5 linked regions of the Solanum lycopersicum genome follow. The protein of the gene in region 1 binds, or shares a complex with, the protein of each later gene. Links are inferred from orthologs where the notes say so. Each region holds a gene or a part of one and is shown in the gene's direction. Other genes may lie near its edges.

Evidence for each region.
Region 2: pheophytinase, chloroplastic (region 1) and coenzyme F420 hydrogenase_dehydrogenase beta subunit-like share a complex: the UniProt entries of both Arabidopsis thaliana proteins name them as parts of the SGR1-CCE-LHCII complex. The link is inferred for Solanum lycopersicum from reciprocal best matches to the Arabidopsis thaliana genes PPH and HCAR.
Region 3: pheophytinase, chloroplastic (region 1) and chlorophyll(ide) b reductase NOL, chloroplastic share a complex: the UniProt entries of both Arabidopsis thaliana proteins name them as parts of the SGR1-CCE-LHCII complex. The link is inferred for Solanum lycopersicum from reciprocal best matches to the Arabidopsis thaliana genes PPH and NOL.
Region 4: pheophytinase, chloroplastic (region 1) and probable chlorophyll(ide) b reductase NYC1, chloroplastic share a complex: the UniProt entries of both Arabidopsis thaliana proteins name them as parts of the SGR1-CCE-LHCII complex. The link is inferred for Solanum lycopersicum from reciprocal best matches to the Arabidopsis thaliana genes PPH and NYC1.
Region 5: pheophytinase, chloroplastic (region 1) and red chlorophyll catabolite reductase, chloroplastic share a complex: the UniProt entries of both Arabidopsis thaliana proteins name them as parts of the SGR1-CCE-LHCII complex. The link is inferred for Solanum lycopersicum from reciprocal best matches to the Arabidopsis thaliana genes PPH and ACD2.

Annotation. Positions count from the first base shown.
Region 1 is NC_090800.1:78,700,339-78,704,334, reverse strand, and holds the start of pheophytinase, chloroplastic, read left to right. Parts: upstream 1-1,186; 5' UTR 1,187-1,483; intron 1,484-2,013; 5' UTR 2,014-2,048; coding exon 2,049-2,771; intron 2,772-3,120; coding exon 3,121-3,347; intron 3,348-3,640; coding exon 3,641-3,832; intron 3,833-3,931; coding exon 3,932-3,996. UniProt on the Arabidopsis thaliana protein: Alpha/beta hydrolase dephytylating specifically the Mg-free chlorophyll pigment (pheophytin), yielding pheophorbide. No activity on chlorophyll. Belongs to the chlorophyll catabolic enzymes (CCEs).
Region 2 is NC_090808.1:67,936,182-67,940,214, reverse strand, and holds the start of coenzyme F420 hydrogenase_dehydrogenase beta subunit-like, read left to right. Parts: upstream 1-1,225; 5' UTR 1,226-1,248; coding exon 1,249-1,324; intron 1,325-1,472; coding exon 1,473-1,575; intron 1,576-2,769; coding exon 2,770-2,854; intron 2,855-3,086; exon of another isoform or gene 3,087-3,205; intron 3,206-4,033. UniProt on the Arabidopsis thaliana protein: Probable iron-sulfur flavoprotein that converts 7-hydroxymethyl chlorophyll a to chlorophyll a using ferredoxin as a reducing equivalent. Catalyzes the reduction of a hydroxymethyl group to a methyl group. Belongs to the chlorophyll catabolic enzymes (CCEs).
Region 3 is NC_090804.1:48,920,185-48,923,697, forward strand, and holds part of chlorophyll(ide) b reductase NOL, chloroplastic, read left to right. Parts: intron 1-624; coding exon 625-686; intron 687-1,504; coding exon 1,505-1,603; intron 1,604-3,513. UniProt on the Arabidopsis thaliana protein: Required for chlorophyll b degradation. Chlorophyll b, chlorophyllide b, pheophorbide b and pheophytin b can be used as substrates. Belongs to the chlorophyll catabolic enzymes (CCEs).
Region 4 is NC_090806.1:26,308,419-26,312,696, forward strand, and holds the start of probable chlorophyll(ide) b reductase NYC1, chloroplastic, read left to right. Parts: upstream 1-1,466; 5' UTR 1,467-1,931; coding exon 1,932-2,201; intron 2,202-2,276; coding exon 2,277-2,355; intron 2,356-2,434; coding exon 2,435-2,570; intron 2,571-2,633; coding exon 2,634-2,708; intron 2,709-2,780; coding exon 2,781-2,976; intron 2,977-3,365; coding exon 3,366-3,434; intron 3,435-4,001; coding exon 4,002-4,141; intron 4,142-4,274; coding exon 4,275-4,278. UniProt on the Arabidopsis thaliana protein: Involved in chlorophyll b degradation. Belongs to the chlorophyll catabolic enzymes (CCEs).
Region 5 is NC_090802.1:10,423,464-10,427,533, forward strand, and holds the start of red chlorophyll catabolite reductase, chloroplastic, read left to right. Parts: upstream 1-1,259; 5' UTR 1,260-1,326; coding exon 1,327-1,659; intron 1,660-4,070. UniProt on the Arabidopsis thaliana protein: Catalyzes the key reaction of chlorophyll catabolism, porphyrin macrocycle cleavage of pheophorbide a (pheide a) to a primary fluorescent catabolite (pFCC).

The DNA of each region.
Region 1 (3,996 bases):
AAAATATAACAAAGTTCAATGTGTGGTAAAATAATATTGCCAAACAAGTATATACTCAAAAAATATAAATCAAACAAATGAGTAACATAGTTCATTGTGTGGTTTGATGATTTTTATCACATATACATAAAAGTTGCTAGATGCAATTTTTATTTTGAAAAAAAAAAAACACAAAAATGTAGTGACTAGAATTAAACTTGGGACACAGTTGCTAGCGAAGGAGTGGTGTGAGACAAGAATTTAACCACCATGCTAGATTAGCTTTTGTGTATAAGGATGCACAAATTAATATATTATCGTCATTTAGATATTATACATGTGTACCTTTATAGGAATTGAATGAAAAAATCATCGATCATTATAAAATAAAACTCATAAAACATGTTTTTTTATTTTTCAAAAGACATTTTTTAAAATACTCACCTAATAGAGTCGTGAACACCCTGGAATGAGTAATAACCATATAAATAACATGTAACGCCAAAAAGTTTGAAAAAATTGACCAGAGGTGGCCCTATTGAGTACACCTCAATTTTTTAGTACAAATTACTATAGTAATGTGCGAATGATTTTTTATGATAATTTTTTTAAAATACTTTTTTATACATAAAAAATATCTTTATAATAATGATAAGTTAAAGTAGGCATTTGGCCATATGATATCATAGTATTGTGAGATGAAATCAGCATTTAGACATGCGATTTTACATTAATTCTATTTCATGATTTCATATTCTCTAGAAATCATAATATGGAATCATATGGGAATATCATATCATAATTTGAGATATTTAATACAAAAATTAATCCACACGTTTATATTTTGTTAAAACAATGCTACATTTATATCTACTAACTATTTATTTTACATGTAAATAAAATTATAGTTACATCATTACATTTTAAAATTTATTGTTCACACCAACATATAGTCACTTTAGGTCACACTTCACGATCATTGAGTAATAAAATCTTGAAGAACCCGTGAAAAGTGCTTCATTTTTAGATTGAAACATTACTTAAGTGGAGAACAAATAATTTTATAATAATTTATTATGCAATTTTATAATTTTTTATTTAATTTGATAAGATTGAATAAACAATTGAAGCAATTTTAATAGTTTTAGAAAACTTATGAGATTTTTACGATTACGTAAGAATATACAATATCAAAATTTCATCTCGAATATCTAAACAAAACTTTAATTGCATCTCATAATTTCATATCATGATACTATATCGCATGACCAGACCGCCCAAATCTACCATTTTGTTAAATATCGTCATTTGTTTTATTTTTTCTTGGTTTCTAAATAGATCCCACTTTTTTAAGCAATCTCTTGTCTGGACTCTAGATTTATGTAGAAATATATAACTAACTGAATGTTAAAAAGAATAAGAAAAAGCAATTCTAAAATCCCATATCACTTCTCCTAAGCTCTTGGAGATTTTGCTCATAATTATCTTAGAAAACTGATTAAAGGTTAGTTGGCTTTCAATTTTTTCTTTCTAGTTTGTTATGGAATTGTGAAATAATGGTCTTTTAGGTTATTGATTTTTAGCTTTTATTGGATGTTTAAGTTGTAGAATTTTCAAGTAAGGTTCAATATTTGCTCAATTTTTTCGTTTTCCAGATAAGGTTGATCTATTGACAGATTCAGGATTTGAAGTTTGTAGTTTGGGATTTAGATCTTTTGAGTTACTGAATTCTAAATTAATAACTGTACATATTAAATGGATTTTTGTAATGAAAAAAAAAAAATTGAGTTTGAACCAGAGTTATTGGGTTCAATAAATGTGTTCACATCATGAAAAAAAATGAAGGTTGAATTTTTTTGTTGTTGTAGAAGAATATGATGTTAGTTGATTTATCTTATTAGCCAAGTAATAATAATTAGATGTGAAGAAGTAAATTACTATATTGTTGTTGAGTTGATTGCATTACTTTCCTGTATTTTATTAGTATTTGATAACAACCTAAATGCTTTGTTTTCAATGTATTCTTGATTTCAGGTATTCATTTTAGATTTTAGAAAGCTGACTCTGGGATGGAATTTTGTTCTTTCTATTCGACACCCTATTACTGCGTTGTAAATGTTAAACCGAATGTGATTCAAAAATGCCTAATTTCAAATCAGACAATGTTTTCTAGACTAAAAGAAAGAAGATTGTGTTCTGGTTTAGATGTTTATAGCGTAGAGAAAAATAGGAAGCGGAGATCTTGCACTGTCGCTTCTGTTAAGGGGGTTGACAGTGTTGTTGACTCAAGTCTCTTGAATGAAAGCTATAACACAGATGTCGTGGATGGGAAAGTCGGTACAGAAGGTGTGACTAGTAGAGGTAAATCAGTACCAAAGGTTATGATTCCTAGTTTACCAAGTGAAGCTAAAGGCGATGCTGTTGCTGTGATTGATAGCTGTTTGTGGGAATGGAAGCCAAAACTGAATGTTCATTATGAGAAATCTGGATGTCAAAATGTTAACTCCGCGCCAATACTTTTTCTTCCTGGTTTTGGTGTTGGTTCCTTTCACTATGAAAAACAGCTAAAGGATCTTGGTCGTGATAACAGAATATGGGCATTGGATTTTATTGGACAGGGAAAGTCATTACCTAGTGAGGATCCAACTTCGCGGTCAAAAAGATTAAATGAATCGGAAGGTGATGGAAACAATGTTCTCTGGGGTTTGGGGGATGAAGTAGAACCTTGGGCAAAAGAACTTGTCTATTCTATTGACTTATGGAGGGAGCAAGTACGCTATTTCATCGAAGAGGTACAATTTCTATCTTTGTCCTTGTGTTTTTTCCCTCAAAATTGGTTGATCTGTAGATTAAGCATTGTCATTGATGTATTGCTAGTTTTTTAAATTCATGTTCGTTCAATACACTGGCTCGTAATGAATGCTAGAAGATGAAACTAAAAATATTCATACAAGGCTTATGAGTACATTACAGTTGCAGTCCTGACAATTTGCTATAGTATGCCAGAATAATGTTCCTTTGGCACTACTTGTTTATTTTTGTTCGATTTAGGCTATGGAACGATGGGCTTCTCAATAAGTTTCCAAATTGTTGATTGGTTACTAGGAACAAACTATAAACTTGTATCCTTTGGTGATGCAGGTTATTAAGGAACCAGTCTACATTGTGGGAAATTCACTTGGTGGATATGTTGCCCTCTACTTTGCTGCATACTACCCTCAATTAGTGAAAGGTGTAACCTTGCTGAATGCTACGCCTTTTTGGGGATTTCTTCCTAATCCTGTTAGATCTCCGAGATTATCTAGATTATTTCCATGGGCTGGTACTTTTCCTCTGCCCTCCAATATCAGAAAGCTCACAGAACTTGTGTAAGTGCCCTGACTTTCTGTTTTGATTATTTAGTTTCCTGATCCTATAAACTTATATACCGAGTAATAGGATCTTCTTGCCAGCTATACATTTTATATTGGTTAGCATCAAGACGATGACCAAATGATGTGTTGTTACATTTTGCAACTTATGCTGAAAAAATGAATCGTTCTTGGATAATTTGATGTTCTTTCATCATATAATAGAGGGACATTATGGATTGTATCCTTGTTTTTGGGTTTTGTCTGGTTCTCAAACTTATCCGTCTGTACGCTTCATTATGCTTCTGTAGATGGCAGAAAATTAGTGCTCCCGAGAGTATCGCAGAGGTGCTTAAACAAGTTTACGCTGATCATACCACAAAAGTAGATAAAGTTTTCTCTAGTATTCTTGAGGTAACAGAACACCCTGCAGCAGCTGCATCCCTTGCTTCAATAATGTTCGCTCCTCAGGGACAACTAAATTTTAAAGAGGCACTGACTGGGTAGGTAAAGCAAGTAGTATTACATAGCCGTGTCATTTGGCTTGCATATGTTTTCTTATACAGTAACAAAGCTGAAATCTTTCACCTTGCTATATCTAGGTGTCGAATGAACAATGTACCGGTCTGTCTCATTTACGGGAAAGAAGACCCCTGGGTGACGCCGA
Region 2 (4,033 bases), on another chromosome or scaffold:
ACTTTATATTTTCAAAATAGTATATGCTTTGTTTATAGAGAACAAGCAATATTCCAATTCCCACATCGTTAGTGGACATATTTCTTTTTATTTTTATAATAATCTATGATGCAATATTGTATGTCGAGCTTAGTAACGTGGGCTTGTAACCCAAGTGGGGATGTTAAGGTGGTGGAATATTGGGCTGTCCCAGATGGCTGGGCTTGGTGGGCTAATTTCTGGCCTGCCCTATCCAAGCACAGAGTTGGATCATGTGGTCCAATTGAAAGAATGGGCTACTAGATTCCTAAAGTGGGGTGGACCGCGTGAGGCTGGTTTCACAGAGCAACGAAAAACTTCCGCTTTGTGCAGTGGAAGGATAACGGACCGGTGCCTTCCAAGTTCCATTAATGCCTGATGGGCTGCTCCAATTAAACCACCACTTTTTTTCCGATATAGTGACTCATGAACTTCTCAATTTTGCTGGTTTTGTAAACGGGACTTATGATTTATATCGTTATCGGTGCCTTCCAAGTTCCATTAATGCCTGATGGGCTGCTCCAATTAAACCACCACTTTTTTTCCGATATAGTGACTCATGAACTTCTCAATTTTGCTGGTTTTGTAAACGGGACTTATGATTTATAAGATATAGCGAGTAATGAACTTCTCTAGGTTTAATCTTCCAAGTTTTGAAAATGGAACTTATACTCCCATCGACATGTTATGTAGGACTTACGTCTATACCTTATAAGATATAATTTGTGACTTTATGAACTTTTTAAGGTATAATGTTTTGAAATTGAACTTATGTCTACAGAGGCATAAGTTTTGTATGACATAACATATGCCTTACGATTGTATTTTCAAAGACTATTGATCCGACGAACAAAAATTAAAAGCCACCCTATTTTGAGTATTCATATGAACGACTATATGATTTTACTTCAGTGAAATGATATGGTATGTGTTGTTTATCTCATCAAAATTTCAACACAATATGTTATCGAGTACTTATTCAGGAGCAAAGCTAGGTAGGACCAAAAGGATTCGTTCGAATCACTTTCAGCGATTCATTGTTTATAAATAATTAAAATTATTTCTTAATTTTCTAAATATTTAATATTTCACTTTTTTTACTCATCCAAAAAAATAAAAAGTAGAAATTAATTAAATACCGGACGACACCGTTTTGGTTCCACCCTTAAAAGAATCTCATTTGATATATATTTGTGGCGCAAAACACTTGTGCAGATACACAGAGCAACAATGGCGTTTCTTACTGGAAAAATCTCTACTTTACCCTTCAAATTTTACACTGTTTCATCTTCTTCACAACAACAAGGTTTTGTTTCTCTCCATTTCTACATTCACTGAACAAAATCCTCTTAGAGGAACTTTTTTTTACAAAAAATGACAAACTTTTGCTATGAGTTTTTTTTTTAAAAAAAATTGAAACTTTGTGTGTTGATGTTGTTTGAATTACTCAACAGATGCAAACCAAAACCTGAAATCAGTGAAAATTAGAGAAGATTGGAGGAAAAAATCTCGACCTATTCCTCCTGGTGGGACTTATCCAGCTAAAGACCACTGCAGGTTCATAATTCTGCTTTTTTTTTTCTTAATATAATTGAAATTTTAGCTTTTAATGCTGTAATGGGAGGTAAATTGCGTAGCTTGATCATTTTTCTATGTATTTTTTTTTTGAAGTTTTTAGTTTTTGTAAGTTAGACTAGTGAAAAAGTTGTTATTTTTATTTGTTATCTTTAAACTATGACATAAATACATAGATAGATATCTTAGGTTGGGCTCAATTGGCAACTGAACACTCAAAGTGTGCATCTTAACTGGTCTTGGCTGTGTGAGTTAAACACTCCCAACGTACAAAATGATCATCTAGACATATAGTGCCGGGTGTCTCGGAGACCGTCTAGATGTGCATTCTTAAAGTTGGAGTATTTAGTTGTTAGTTAAGCAAAGTTAAGGTGTCTATTTATGAATCACTCCCTCTCCGTCCAATATTGTTTGTCATGTTGTGTTTTTTGAAAGTCAATTTGACTAATTTTCAAAGTTAAATTAAATCACATTAATTCGATATTTTAAACAAAATAATTAGATATTTTAAAACTATATGAAAAGTACTATAAATTGCAATTTTTTGCATATTAATACGATGAAAAAATACACCTTAAAATGTTAGTCAAAGTTTTTATAGTTTGACTCTATGAATAGACACCATGACAAACAATACCGGACGGAGAGAGTGTCTTAAACTAATATGTGTTTGAAGAGTTCTCCCTTTTCGGAAACTATAATGGTTCAATTTTCATAGTAAATGTGAAAGAACTATAAATATGAGGGAGATTGGGCATTAATTTGGCATGAAGTATAAAAAAGAACCTGAAGTATTCAATTTGAAATGGAGGAAGCATTTCATTGGGTCTTTGAAGCATCGTAGCTTTCCATATCAATTCGTCCTAAGTTGGGTCAAATTTTGTAGAATGGAAAAAAAAGGAGCTTGAATGATGAAGTATTGTTTGGAAGACTGAAATATAAGTTTTGACGTTCACAAGAATATCATATATATTAATTAGCATTTTTTTTGAAATTGGTAAATAATAATTAACATTATTTATATACTAATTCAATGTTTTTGAGGATTATAAGTTAGTATCATTTAATCACTCATCTTCATACTTATTTAAATTAATTTCTTGTATATTTTGTGACTATTTCGTAATCATTATAGTAGTTTTTTGTCTGATGGTAGTTTTTGTTTCTGGTTTGCAGCCACTGTGGTTTGTGTGACACTTACTACATTGCTCATGTGAATAATGCATGTGCTTTCTTGGGGGATGGCATGTCTAGAGTTGAAGTGAGTCTTTCTCTACTTTAGTACATGTAGATACTGTTGCTTTTAGTTGCAGTTCTTATTGTTTATGCCTAGTTTTTGTTCCTTAAGTTTGTCATAAATGACCTACTGGAGTTTGATTATTGCATGCTTTCATTGTCACATGCAGATTTTCCCTGTGAATTTTGTTTTGTCTTTTGTGTCCTTTGAAAAGCTATCTCATCCATATGGATTTACATCTTATGAATATGTACAGTGTATGCAGTGAAACAAGACTTGGCTGTGATATTGCAGTGTGTTGTGGAAGTCATAAGAAAAGTTTGCAAGCTAGAAAGATGCTCAGAGAGAGTACTGGTTCATGTTCTCTGAGACCGTGTAATCCACTATTAGCTCGTGTGCAATTGAATTCATCTTTCTTTGGTCACTCCACTTCCATTAAAATCCCTTCTGTTGGGAGCATGAGAGTTTTTAACACTTTGTTATTAGGAAAAGTTGCATACTAGAACTTGATGGGTTCACTGGTCCTCGCCTCCGACCCCAACTAGTTCTTTTGACAAGCATGTTTGAATTTTATATTTCTGTTTCACTCTCTTGGGTAAAAGGTATGCTGCTTTGAATGTTGACAAGATATGGAATAAATGAAGTTTTAGGCATTATTATAGAGCTATAAATTACACAAGGTACAAGACACGTATAGTGGATCTTCATAAGAATGATTTCTCTAGTTGTTAACATAATCTCGACATACTGAAATTTATGGGGTTGATAATGTTATACTGAAACACAGTATGGTCGGACTCTAATCAGACTCCTCATAGGGCGATGGGAAAACATTCATAGACCTCCATCAAAGTCTTCGCTATGGTGTACATCTGTCCTCTTCTCTTTTCTCTTTTCTTTGTTTTTTCTACCTTCTGTTTAATAATTTCATACAGCTTAGCATAGTTTACAGGTACAACGTAATCTCGTGACAGGTCAAACTTTTTTCCCCAATTCTATACAATTTTTTTTTTTTTTTGGTTATTGTCCAAAGGAACTTGGTAAAGTTTGAAAATTATTCCGTCTTTAGTTTGACTGGTGGGTGGAGGGTGACAGGGGGTGCATGTAAGTTCTTTTATGAGAAAGAATGATTTGATTACTCACTAAAAAACTTCAGTGCTTGCTACGAGTAGCAGTTCCTTGGAATGCGTTCTCAACTCAGTC
Region 3 (3,513 bases), on another chromosome or scaffold:
TTGGAACGAAAGCTAAGAAGCTACAGCTTGTGGGAAGAAAAAAAAAGTTGCAGGCATTGGGTTAGTGATCTCTAGAGACATTAAGTGCCATACATGCAAATTAAGGAAGTAGTGAAAGCAATGGATGCAGTTTATTAGAATAGAGATAATGGGAATCTTGCTACTTAATTGGAGATAATATGGGTTGAAAGGAGCAGAGTTTGCTGAAGTTAGAAAACAAAGGAAAGGAGGAGATCTGCTGAAGTTTGAATGGAAGATTGGGAGGGATGGCATATTCATGATCTAGTTTGATCTCTATGGAGTCATATATCAATAATTGCTGCTCTCCTACCTTGATGAGTCTTATCCGGGTCCTGAACTAACCATAATTGCAATAACATAAGACTGATGATTTTGCATGGTACCTTGATACAGTGATATTTTCTCTTTTCCATTCGTTATCTTGTAACTCATGGGGATGTATTCTCATTCTCTTTTTTATTTTATTGCTTTAAAGCTCACACTCTCTTTATGTTAGCTCTTCATCTCCCTACACTTGAATGGAAAAGAAACAACTTTCTTTGGAATATGTAGTTTAGAATTAAATGTAATTACATCTTTAGAGTTGACCATTTTTTTTGACAGATGAAAGAGTTGTATCTGCTCTCGACAGGTTAAGAGTTGAAACAGGGAAGCAGCATGTGTGGGTACCTCCATTTTCACTTCATTTCTTATAGACCTTTAGTCATTCTTTGATTCTTTCTGTGTACTCATCACTAGTTTCGTCTTCAATCAGGTTCTATGGTGATTGATGAGTATTTTATTTCGCTAATGACTAACATAACTTTGGGCTTCATGCCTACCGATTGACTTGAACTTTTGATTTCCTGAATCATGTTCTATTGAAAGGAAGGTTGTAAAGTAAAAACCAACAACAACAACAAACTCAGTGAAATACCAGAAGTGGGGTTTGGGGAGGGTAGAGTGTACGCAGGCCTTACCACTAACTCTCCATGGTAGAGACTGTTTCTGTAAGACCTTTGGTTCAAGCAAATAAAACACTAACTATAAAAAAAAACTGACAGTTAATATCAAAGCAGTTGGAGCATATCAATGCAAGGAGCCATAATAATAACAAGCTGCAGTTACCTAAACACAGTAAACCACAGATGATCTCGGATACCAAAAACCGAAGACTTAATGAATATGCTAATACTACGACCAGCACGGAGCTCTACACTTCCACCCAGAAAAATACATGAATGGGCTAGTAATAAGACAACTCCCAGCTATACCTACATACCGTCTATCCATGATCTCCATATCCTCCTATCTAAAGTCATGTCCTTGGTAAGCTGAAGATGTGCCATATTCTGCCTAATATGTAGTTTAGAATTATATATTATTATGTCTTTAAAGTAAACCAAGGGTCTGTAAATATACTTACTGGCCCTTGCAGGTGTTATGGCCTTTCTTTTACATGATTAGCTTAAGCATTATTTTTGTCTTCACATGCTTGATTCAGATCCCTATGCAGGGCACCAAGTGTGATGTTAGAGAGGGAGATGACGTGAAGAACTTAGTTGCCTTTGCGAAGGAAAAGCTTCAATACATCGACATATGGGTATCTAATCTGGATCCTTAATTTGCTTAAGATGATAAGGTCACAAACACTCTCAATGTTCTTTGTATCAGAAGTCCAGTTCCCTTTCTGATTTGATTGTAAATGTTCTCTTTTTATCCTTTCATGTCACTGCTTGTTCAAGAATTATTGTTGGTACTTAATCCATAAATTTAGTTGTTTGAACTGCTGCAAAGTCATAATAAATATTAGAGTTAATTCCTCACCCAACTTATGGAAATGACCTACGAAAGTTACTTATTCTTTTGGGACAACAAAGTCATTCAATTATCAAATCTCCTCTTAGTTCATCACAAGGGGTATTGTTTGAGGTTAATGCTTCCCAAAGCAACATCTTTGGCATGTCGTTGAGGAGGTAGGCTTCTGCGTACCTTCCTTAATCCTTATGTGATTAATAGTAGTGTTAAAGAATGTCAAAAGTTACACATTGGTGCTTAATGAGAAGGGTGTACTCTTGATAAGGTTTGAGTAATCGTCCTCCGTTTGAGCTAGCTTTTGGGTTGTGAGGTAGGACCCAACATCTAATTTAACTTGGTATCAGAGCAAGACCCATCTCACCCTATGTTGAGCCTCTAAAATTAAAAGTTGCCCACGCACCAGATGTTAAGCACTGGGCATGAGGTGAGTGTTAAAGATGAAAAAAGTTTTATATGGTGGTTAATGAGATTTGTGTACTCCTTATAATGCTTAGACAATCCTTCTCCTCCCTTTAAGCTAGCTTTTGGGGTGAGGGCTAGGTCCAAGGCCTAATTTAACAAGTAGGATAGGTTTTTCCATAGGCTTTTAGTTCCCCAATGAGTTTACTCAGTCGGGAGAACATTCCTCATTAGTCTCTCCTTCATTTATTTGGAATAATACTCATAAAGTAGAAGGCTGACTATAGTCTGCTTGACTTGCCATTTCCTTCATAGGTCACTTCTAGCTTATCCCATATTTCTTTAGCAGTTTCACCACTTGTGATCTTTTGATATTCTTCACCACTGATTGCATTATATAGTAAATATTTTCTTAAGATTATACCTGAATAATTTCCAGTCATGTATTATTTTTGTCCACCAATTTTGATAGATCAATTGCTCCTTCAATTTCTGTTGTTTTTTCCTTGCTTCCAGATTCCTTATCATCACTCTTAGTTGTAGGTATGGGAATGTCTCCCAATTTGATCACCCTCCAGACCATTACACCATATGACTTGATGTAGGTTCCCATTCTGACCTTCTAGTGTGAGAAGTACTTCCCATTGGAGTAGGGAGGCCTTGTCTGAGAGGTTCCCTCTTAAAATAAAGCTTCAACTGTAATGACTGGCAATTAAATGATGACGCAAGTTATAAAACAATAAGTAAATGACACTGGGTATTTTTATACCGGTTGGGATCCAATGTGGATTTTAGTCCAGTCCCCTTGGGTTGCAAGGGATTTTCTATGCAAGTACTTTGAATAGTTGATGAGTACAAGTCCCTCAAGGTTTAATCCTACGTCTACACTCGATCTTTTTTTCTCTTGACACAATGCCTCACCAACTATATTTTTCCTCTCTTCTCTGTTTTGATTACACAGTAAACCATTTAAGAATTACAATGCTTGTTAAGAGTAGAACAATGCACTTTGAGGAGGCTTTATACAAACGTATGTTAGTCTTTGGTCTTCAATGATTGATTATATGAGGACTGTTGTTTCATTAGCAGAGAGGGCAACCCTAAGGATTTGATCCTTGATAAGGGAAATTGATTTCCTTTCCAACAATAAGGGACAACTCATCCAAGAGGCTGCTGTTGTATTATTTTTACTAATCTTCCAAATATCTCTTTTGCCACTTCTGTAATTTCACTGGGTCTTGATTAGTACTTGATACTGCTTCCATGTGATCTCCGTGAGTCTTGCTTCTTTCCTTG
Region 4 (4,278 bases), on another chromosome or scaffold:
CTTTAATTAGGAAAACGTCCTTCAACAAGTCTAAAAAGTCTTAACATACCTTAGATGCCGAGCTTGTGCCACGAATCTTTTAAGATTTTTCCTTTCCTTTTCGCAAGGTTTCGGAACGTTCCCAATCTACCAATTTTTCAATATTCGTAAGTAAGCAATTTTTTTGTAGACATTCAAATTATTATATGTCTATCATAGACGCTAAAACTCACACATATTTTCAACAAACTCCAAATCTTGATATATATTGGTATGCCAATTTTTTTTCACACTTGCTAAATTTCAAGCCAAGAACTTAACTCTAACCTCTTCAAATGGACTAAAACTCAATGTTAGATCATATAAAATAACACCTAATAATTAATTACCAGTCCCAATATATTAAAAACTAGCATTTTAATATATGAATACACGTGAACAAAATTTCCACCCATTGGCAGAAGTGGAACGCCCCTCCCCTTTTCCCGTTTTTTTGTGCTATTTGTTCTGCATGCCAATTAAAGCATTCCCCCATTGTTGGTACCTTTAAATTCTGAGGTGTGAGTATACCCACCCGACCTGAGCATAACTCCAAGAAGACAACCTCTGGTTTCAAGAAATTGATCACTGCCTTAACTTCTTGGCAGGATTCCGAAGAAACGTGAGCAGTGCTAACAACATACACATCGCGAATGCCTCCATTGGCAGAAGATTGGTTTTTTTTTCCACATCTCCACCAATTCTCCCATTATCAATATAGCATAGAATAATAATACAATCCCAAACACTCCGACAATATATTACTATATATAGAATTGAAAAGAACGAATATCTCATATCTTTACCTGAACAATGGCTGTGATTTTCTCCCTCTCGCTGGTAGCCTGTGATAAGGTTTCGCCTCCTTACTTTTCGTTTTTTCTTTTCTTCTAAATAAGAAATTATTAATCGTGAAACTCCACTAATCTATTATCTAATTATTTATTTAATAAAAGTTTCATCAATTAGGTACTCATAGTTATCTAAAAGCTTAAAAATAACCCTTTAAATTTTCAAAAGGAGCCAAACTAGTCCTACTTCTCAAAACGACCTAGCGGGTAGTTACAATAACAATATAGGAATACAATAAAATTTCTAATTATAAACAATAAAATAAATTAATAGGGTAAATATGTAATTTGTCACTTTAATACATGTATAAATAATACCCGCATAACTTATTTTACTTTCTACCTTACATAACTTTATACATAGATTCCCTCATAAGTTATGTTGATATAAATTATATAAAACTACAAAAATGCAACCAAACATGATATAAGTTATGTTGACTTTTCTACCTAAACAAGAATTTCTACTAAATATTGCATAACTTAATACATTATTTTATACATGAACAAGAGACAAGTTATACCATAACCAAACAGTGTTGAAAAATCACTCAAAATGTGATAATGTTAAATGCCCAAACAAGTAGGTACATAGCTACCACAATGGATCATATTATCTTAGAAATATACATACAGAATTCATGAATAAACTCAAATAGACAATTCACTTGCGTATTTGATTTTTGTTAAACACATTAGAATTGAAGTTTTGATTATTTTTGAAACACAAGTGGGAGAAGGAGATAATGTTGACGGTAATATATATGCGGACCTACAATGACACGTAGCAGATGAAACGTGTAGATAAAGAGTAGCTTTAACGTGTGGTCATCAACTTGGTTTCCCTTTGATCTTTCAAAAATCAAATTCCTTCCAACTCCTTAGATATTTTCTTTTTGTAGTAGACTAGATCCGAGAAAATTTCAAGTCACACAATCCAAATCCCTAAAAATTTGGATATTTATATCTCTTTCCTTGCATATATATAAAATTCATATAGATCTTTGTAAAACAAAACAAAAAGTGCACCATTTTTCTTTTTTATTTTTATTAAAATAATAAATGGACATGGTGGCGAAGGTACACGTGTCAACGCACCACCTACTACCGAGCAGTAATGTTTTCCGGCCTTCGATTGTGAAGGTTCATGGACGACGTAGAGTTTTTGTACAACCTTGCAGGAGCTTTAAGTCTGATGATGCTGAGTATGTGAAGGTGAACAAGTTGGTTGGAGCTATTAGGTCTGCTGTATGGAGTTGTTCAAAGCCAAGTTTGAGAACTGAAAATAAGCTTAGAGAAGCTATGGAGATGTTGGAAGAGAGATTATTCTGGGTACATATGTTTCTTACACATCTTTAACATCAATTGAGAATGGGAAAAAGTTAAATTTGTATTCCAATCTTGCAGTTGGCTTTATATGTTGGAAGATATATTATAACAATGATGAGCACAGGTGTTGTCATGTTCGTTGGGTTTCAGTTGTCAGGTTAGCAAATTCATTTATCATCTTTTGAAAGTTTTTAAGGCATGGATTGATTGGTAACAACTAATTCTAATTGTTACAGGTGGAGATAGCCAGATGAATGAATTGATATGGTACAGCTGGCTTGGAGGAATTATTATCGGCACTATGATAGGATCCAATTTAGTTTTGGATGATGTTGCTCGAGCTGGCCCCCGTAATGTCCTTATAACTGGAAGGTATAATACTTTACTCATACCTTCATTGTTTGTAATTACCATTTTAATTATTTTTTGGTGCAGTACAAGGGGACTAGGGAAAGCTCTTGCCCGCGAATTCTTACTTTCTGGAGATCGGGTCATTGTTACCTCCCGCAGGTAATTAATTGATTATTTGCATCCACTTATTTTGTTTAGCATCTCTTGTAAATACATCATTCCTTAACACAGCCCGGCATCTGTCCGTTTGACTATCGAGGAGCTTGAGGAAAATCTGAAGGAAGCTGTCAATGCTGCCACCGGCTCTGCTAGACTAAAGTTGGCACATGCAAAACTGGTTGGTATGGCTTGTGACGTCTCTGAACCTGTTGATGTTAAAGAACTGGGCAAGTTTGCTGCAGATGAACTTGGTTATATTGACATTTGGGTGAGTAATTTTCTTTTTCTTCATAGCAAAAGACCACCACAACAACAATATACCCCGTCAAATCCTACAAAGTGGGGTTTGGGAGGGTAGAGTGAGTGTACACAGACTTGGACTTTACCACTACCTCGAGGAGGTAGAGAGACTGTCTCGAGAAGACCCTAGACTCAAGAGCATTAAACCCAAGTAAAAGGAGAGAAAATATTGGAAGTGTCAAGAGAAAAACAATAACAGTAGGATAATCAAAATACAATACACAACATATGACAAGAACTACAGGGTTGTGAGTAGAAAATACAGTCATCCACATCCAGAGGACTTGTGAGGAAAAACAGCCTCTTTCCTGGTTTGTTGTTCTGTTTTCATGCTTCTAAAGGTTGTCTTTTATATAGGTAAACAATGCTGGGACAAACAAAGGCTTTCGACCCTTGCTGGAGTTCACCGACAATGATATTCAAGAGGTATCCATGTTGTTGACAGTTCTCATATGTTTATGTTGATACTCTACAACTTCTTCCATTTCTAAACTCTTGCAAAATAATTGCTTTCAAGGCTGCATATATAATAGAAGATGGATCGGGGGTGGGTCGGTATTAGGGTGGGGTATATTAAATTGTCAAGTAAGAGCTGCTTTTGTTGTTTTCCCCCCTCTCTTGTGGAAGGGTGGGTGGTGTATGCACTGTGGGTTTTCTAACTGTTCAGTTGCAGAACTTTGTTAACAAATTATTTTCCCCGTCCCCCCAACACCTATATGTAGTTTGTATACTTTATATACCAGGTCACTCATTTTAACTTTCCGTTTTCCTGGAATTATCCATCAATATGTACTAATGCCTTCTTTTAACTACTACTTGAAAATTTCCCCGTTTCGTCATGCATAGCAAGGTGTTCATGCTTGTTGACCTTTTCAAGTTAACACTCCATGTGCATATAATAATCAACTATCTGCTGTGTGTACTTGCATGATGGGTAAGCTAATATTCTAGTAAGTATTTCTGGTCTGTTGCTTACCAAATTTTTTTATACAGATTGTCTCAACAAACCTGATTGGTTCTATACTATGCACTAAAGAAGCCATCCAAATCATGAAAACCCAAAGCGAAGGTGGACATGTCTTTAATATGGATGGTGCAGGTTCTGGAGGATCTAGCACCCCTCTAACAGCTGTGTAAGTTGATTGTTGTGGTTGTAACTTGGAATGCTAGGTTATCTATTGTAAATAGCAGATCTTTACCATTTATTCATCTAATACTTTTCTAATGGATATTGATTTCGGTGTTATCATCTTTACTGTTCTGCAGCTAT
Region 5 (4,070 bases), on another chromosome or scaffold:
GTATAATTATCCACATTCGTATAATTCACAACTAACAATTCTTTGTTTGATTTATATTTCTATACGATGATTTGTATTTGCATATGAGATAATTTCCTTTGGTTTCTCAGTTTTGTCACTTTATATATTCAATCTTTTTGTGTATAGCTTTCAAAAGTTTGTATAAACGTGCACTTTTTTTTTATAATATAATTTATTTAATGTAACTATTTAAAGTCAATAAATGTATATTTATATCAATTCGTTATTTTGAGGTGTTTTTTTTCATATTTGTATAATTTTAAACTTAATATTGCTCAATCATGCAAAAACACGGAATTATACAAAGGTACCCACGAATTATACAAACGAGATGCGAATATACAAATTATTGCCCTCTCTCACTTGCCTCTCTCCTCCCTCTCCCGATCTCGCTTGATTCTCTCCTCTCTCTCCCAATCTTGCTCGTCTCTCTCCTCCCTCTCACAACCTAGCTCGCTTCTCTCCTCCTTCTCCCAATCTTACTTGTCATATATACAAAACCTATATGAATAATATTCAATTATCTAACCAATATACATACACAATTTACCTCTATCCCATTTCTACCCTCTCTCCTCCATCTCTCAATCTCGCTCATCTCTCTCCCTCCTCTCTCAATCTCGCTTGCCATATATAGAAATACATATGTATAATACACAATTATCTACCTGATATACATGTGTAATTCACCTCTCACTCTCTCGCTCGTATCTCTTATCCCTCTCTCAATCTCTCTCGTCACTCTCTTTCTCTATAACATATAGCTACGAATTGTAATTAACAAATTATAACTATGAAGCATAATTAGGCTATTTTTGAGTGAATATATGCAAAGTTCCTTTTTATATTATGGACCAATTCAAGTTTTTTAAAACTATAGTTATAAATTTGATAAAATATAATAATTTTCATAGATATAATTGATAAATTAAGAAATGCATTAATTTAAAGTCAAAATAAATTCATATTGCGAGAACAATCATTATATGAGATACAAACCGTTTAAAAAATCATGATAGAAATTATAAATTTTATTTACATATGAAATAAATGACTGGTATATATATATATATATATTGTATTTTTAAAAATCAGAATTTTGAATTAGGATTTAAAATACAAAAATTTGATTAAAATAACCATGTTTAAGATATGTTTAATCAAATTTTTGTATTTTAAATCCTAATTCAAAATTCTGATTTTTAAAAATACAAACGACAGCGTATTACATGGGCCACAGCACGTGATGTTCGTTTGCTTCCCAAAAAGCAAAGAGATAGCAGTGAACATGACAGTCCTCCTGCTATGGCTGTTCCACTCTCCTCTGCCAAATTTCACACTTCAATTCTCACACAATCACTCCCCTCTTCTTCCTCTCGTTCTTTTTCCGTCGGAAAACGCTTCTGTTGCTCGTCGTCATCAACTTCCATGGAACATCATGAATCGAAATTTAAGGAATTTCCTTATGCATCTGTTCCGCATAGAGAGTTAATGGTGGAACTTGTATCGACTGTGGAGAATCGTCTTGGAGAGTCTCTACTTCCTTGTACTCTGCCTTCTCATGTGCAGTATTTTGAGAATGAATCTGCTACTGCTCATGCTTCTCTCTATGTCAGATCTGGAAATTCCTCTTCTCAGGTACTCTCCGACTACCTCCTCAATTGATTCTACTATTTATTACCTATTCATTCGTTTTTGCAGTTGTGTCAATTATATGTAGTATGATATAGAATTACTTCCTGTTGGATGTTTTGTTGAATTAGTATATACAGGGTGAATAACAAATCTATGGACAAAGAAATTGATTTTCATAATAATAAAGTGTGATACCAATAGTTTAGAACCCTTATTTTCAAGGAAAAGTTTGTCTTGGGACTTAATGACGACACTGAAGTGCACATTAAGCGAAGTGGTCAACATGTGTAAGCCTTGCTTCAAGGCTTGAGCATGCATAAAGTATGCAACCAAAAAAAAAACGCCAAGAATTTTCTCCTAATGCCCTTCAATATGAATGAATACACTACTATCTTGTACATAGTGAAGTTGATAAAGAAAACAAGAAAATTATTATGTACTATAGAATAATGATTGAGAAAGCTAGATCTTGTCATCTTATTTTAGTGGATTTGGCTTATGCAGAAGAGTTAATCCATTACGCATTGTGCTTTTTGTAGATTGTCCTTTTTACTATGTATGCTAATTCTTTTAATAGAAGTAACATGAATTGAAATGCCAAATACTTATCTGTATAATGTGGTGATGGGAGTTAAGAAGATCAGCAAATGTATTTTTGGTTTTATTCACCCAATGAAGTCAGACAAGATTTTTATCAAATCTGTTTCCTTTGAGCTAATTTCAAATTGAGTATTTCTTGTTCAAGCTATATATCTTGCACTTTCTAGTAAATAACAATCCATTCGTTACAATTAAAAAATATATAACAAACAAAATTCGTGAATGTGCTGCAAACTCCCACTAATATTTTAATAGTTTGCAGTTTGTTCTGTGAAATACATCTCAACTAGTTTTTCTGTGATCTTGTCAAAGTAGTTTGATCTCTGCTTGTTCCCCATTCCCTAGCTTCAGGAGCTGTAGGGGGAAAATTCATATGATCTGCAATCTCACCTTCTCACCATTACCATTCCCAACTTCAATATCTGGCGGCACTGAGTTTCCCATCTGAATAGGTGCTGAGGTAAGTTGTGAACTAGTATCCAATCTGGAACAATAGAAGTTTCTTGCTCTGGTTTAAAATTCTGTGCACATCTCAGGATTTCATAGTGTATGACCGACCCAATGTGAATGAATGACTTGAAAAAATGTTATTGAAGTCTGTTTTGTTACAGAAAGTCAATGTAAATAGTGTTGTAGTTGTAGTACCCAATCTCGACTCTTCCTTTCAATTGAAATTGACTCACAAAAATTTTCCTTAGTTCTTTCATAGTAGGTTCCTTTGATAAATTTACCCACAATAGTCATTTGCAATTATTAGCCAAATTCACGAAATAGTCATCAGCAGAGAAATATATGGTTGGCTTTCCGAGATGAGTCTCATGCCTAATTTCAACAGGAGCTTCGGCGATTGAGGCATTGGCAAATCAGCTTGAACCTTTCTGTGAAGGTTGGTTTCGATGAAGTAGCACCCTTTTACCTTTCCCTGCTAAATTGGGATGTTTCTGTTGGAGTTGAATATTGGGGTTCTGATTTATCAGTGGCAACAGGGTTATGATCAGTTCCATTGATGTTGGTCGCGTCATCCGATTTCAATTTTGAAGAGGGTGTGTGAAATCTGAGGACACCTTTGGCTGAGGGGTTAAATGATTTTGGTGGGTGGATTTTGAATGGGTAGTATTTTCCTGTTGAGGTGTTGCATGCGTGATCTGCAAAAGAGTAGGCTGAGTGTTAATAGCAAGTTGGAGGTTCTGGTGAACTGTTAGGGGCAAGCTTTAGGAGTTTATTATTGTCCATGTGTTGTTCCTCTGAAGGATTGGAAGAAATAGGGGATGATGTTTATTGGTGTTGTGGTTGTTGGTGCTAGAAGGAGTTGATTATTGTGTGTTTGGGATTTTTCGGCTGGATTGGTTCAAACTAACCATTGGGGGTTGTAGGAGAGCGGGTGCGTTTTACTGAGTTGTCGGTGTAGGAGAGACTGCAGTTGGTTGAGATGAGTATGGATTGAATGTATAACTAGTGTTTTAGGTGGGTTCCGATGCACAATTGGTGTTTGCTGAAAAGATCAATAGATCTTCATAGAGAGAAGCTAAGAGAGTGTGCATCCAAAATTGACCAACCAATGTAACTGCTCGATTTCAAGAATTATCCTTGTTCATAATTTGTAGTTCTCTGCAAGTTGCATTCACCTGATGTCTTCTTGGGGAGTTATACATAAGGACTGCAAAAGCATCAGGGAGATAGCAATTTGGATCTGGCTTCTGTTCATTTATTCTTATCCAGTTCCATTCCTCCGCTTATAGTTAGTCATTCCATTGAGAGTTCTTTGACAAGTCCATTTAGTGTTCTTTTTCTAATGCCTATAATAAAAGATGAAC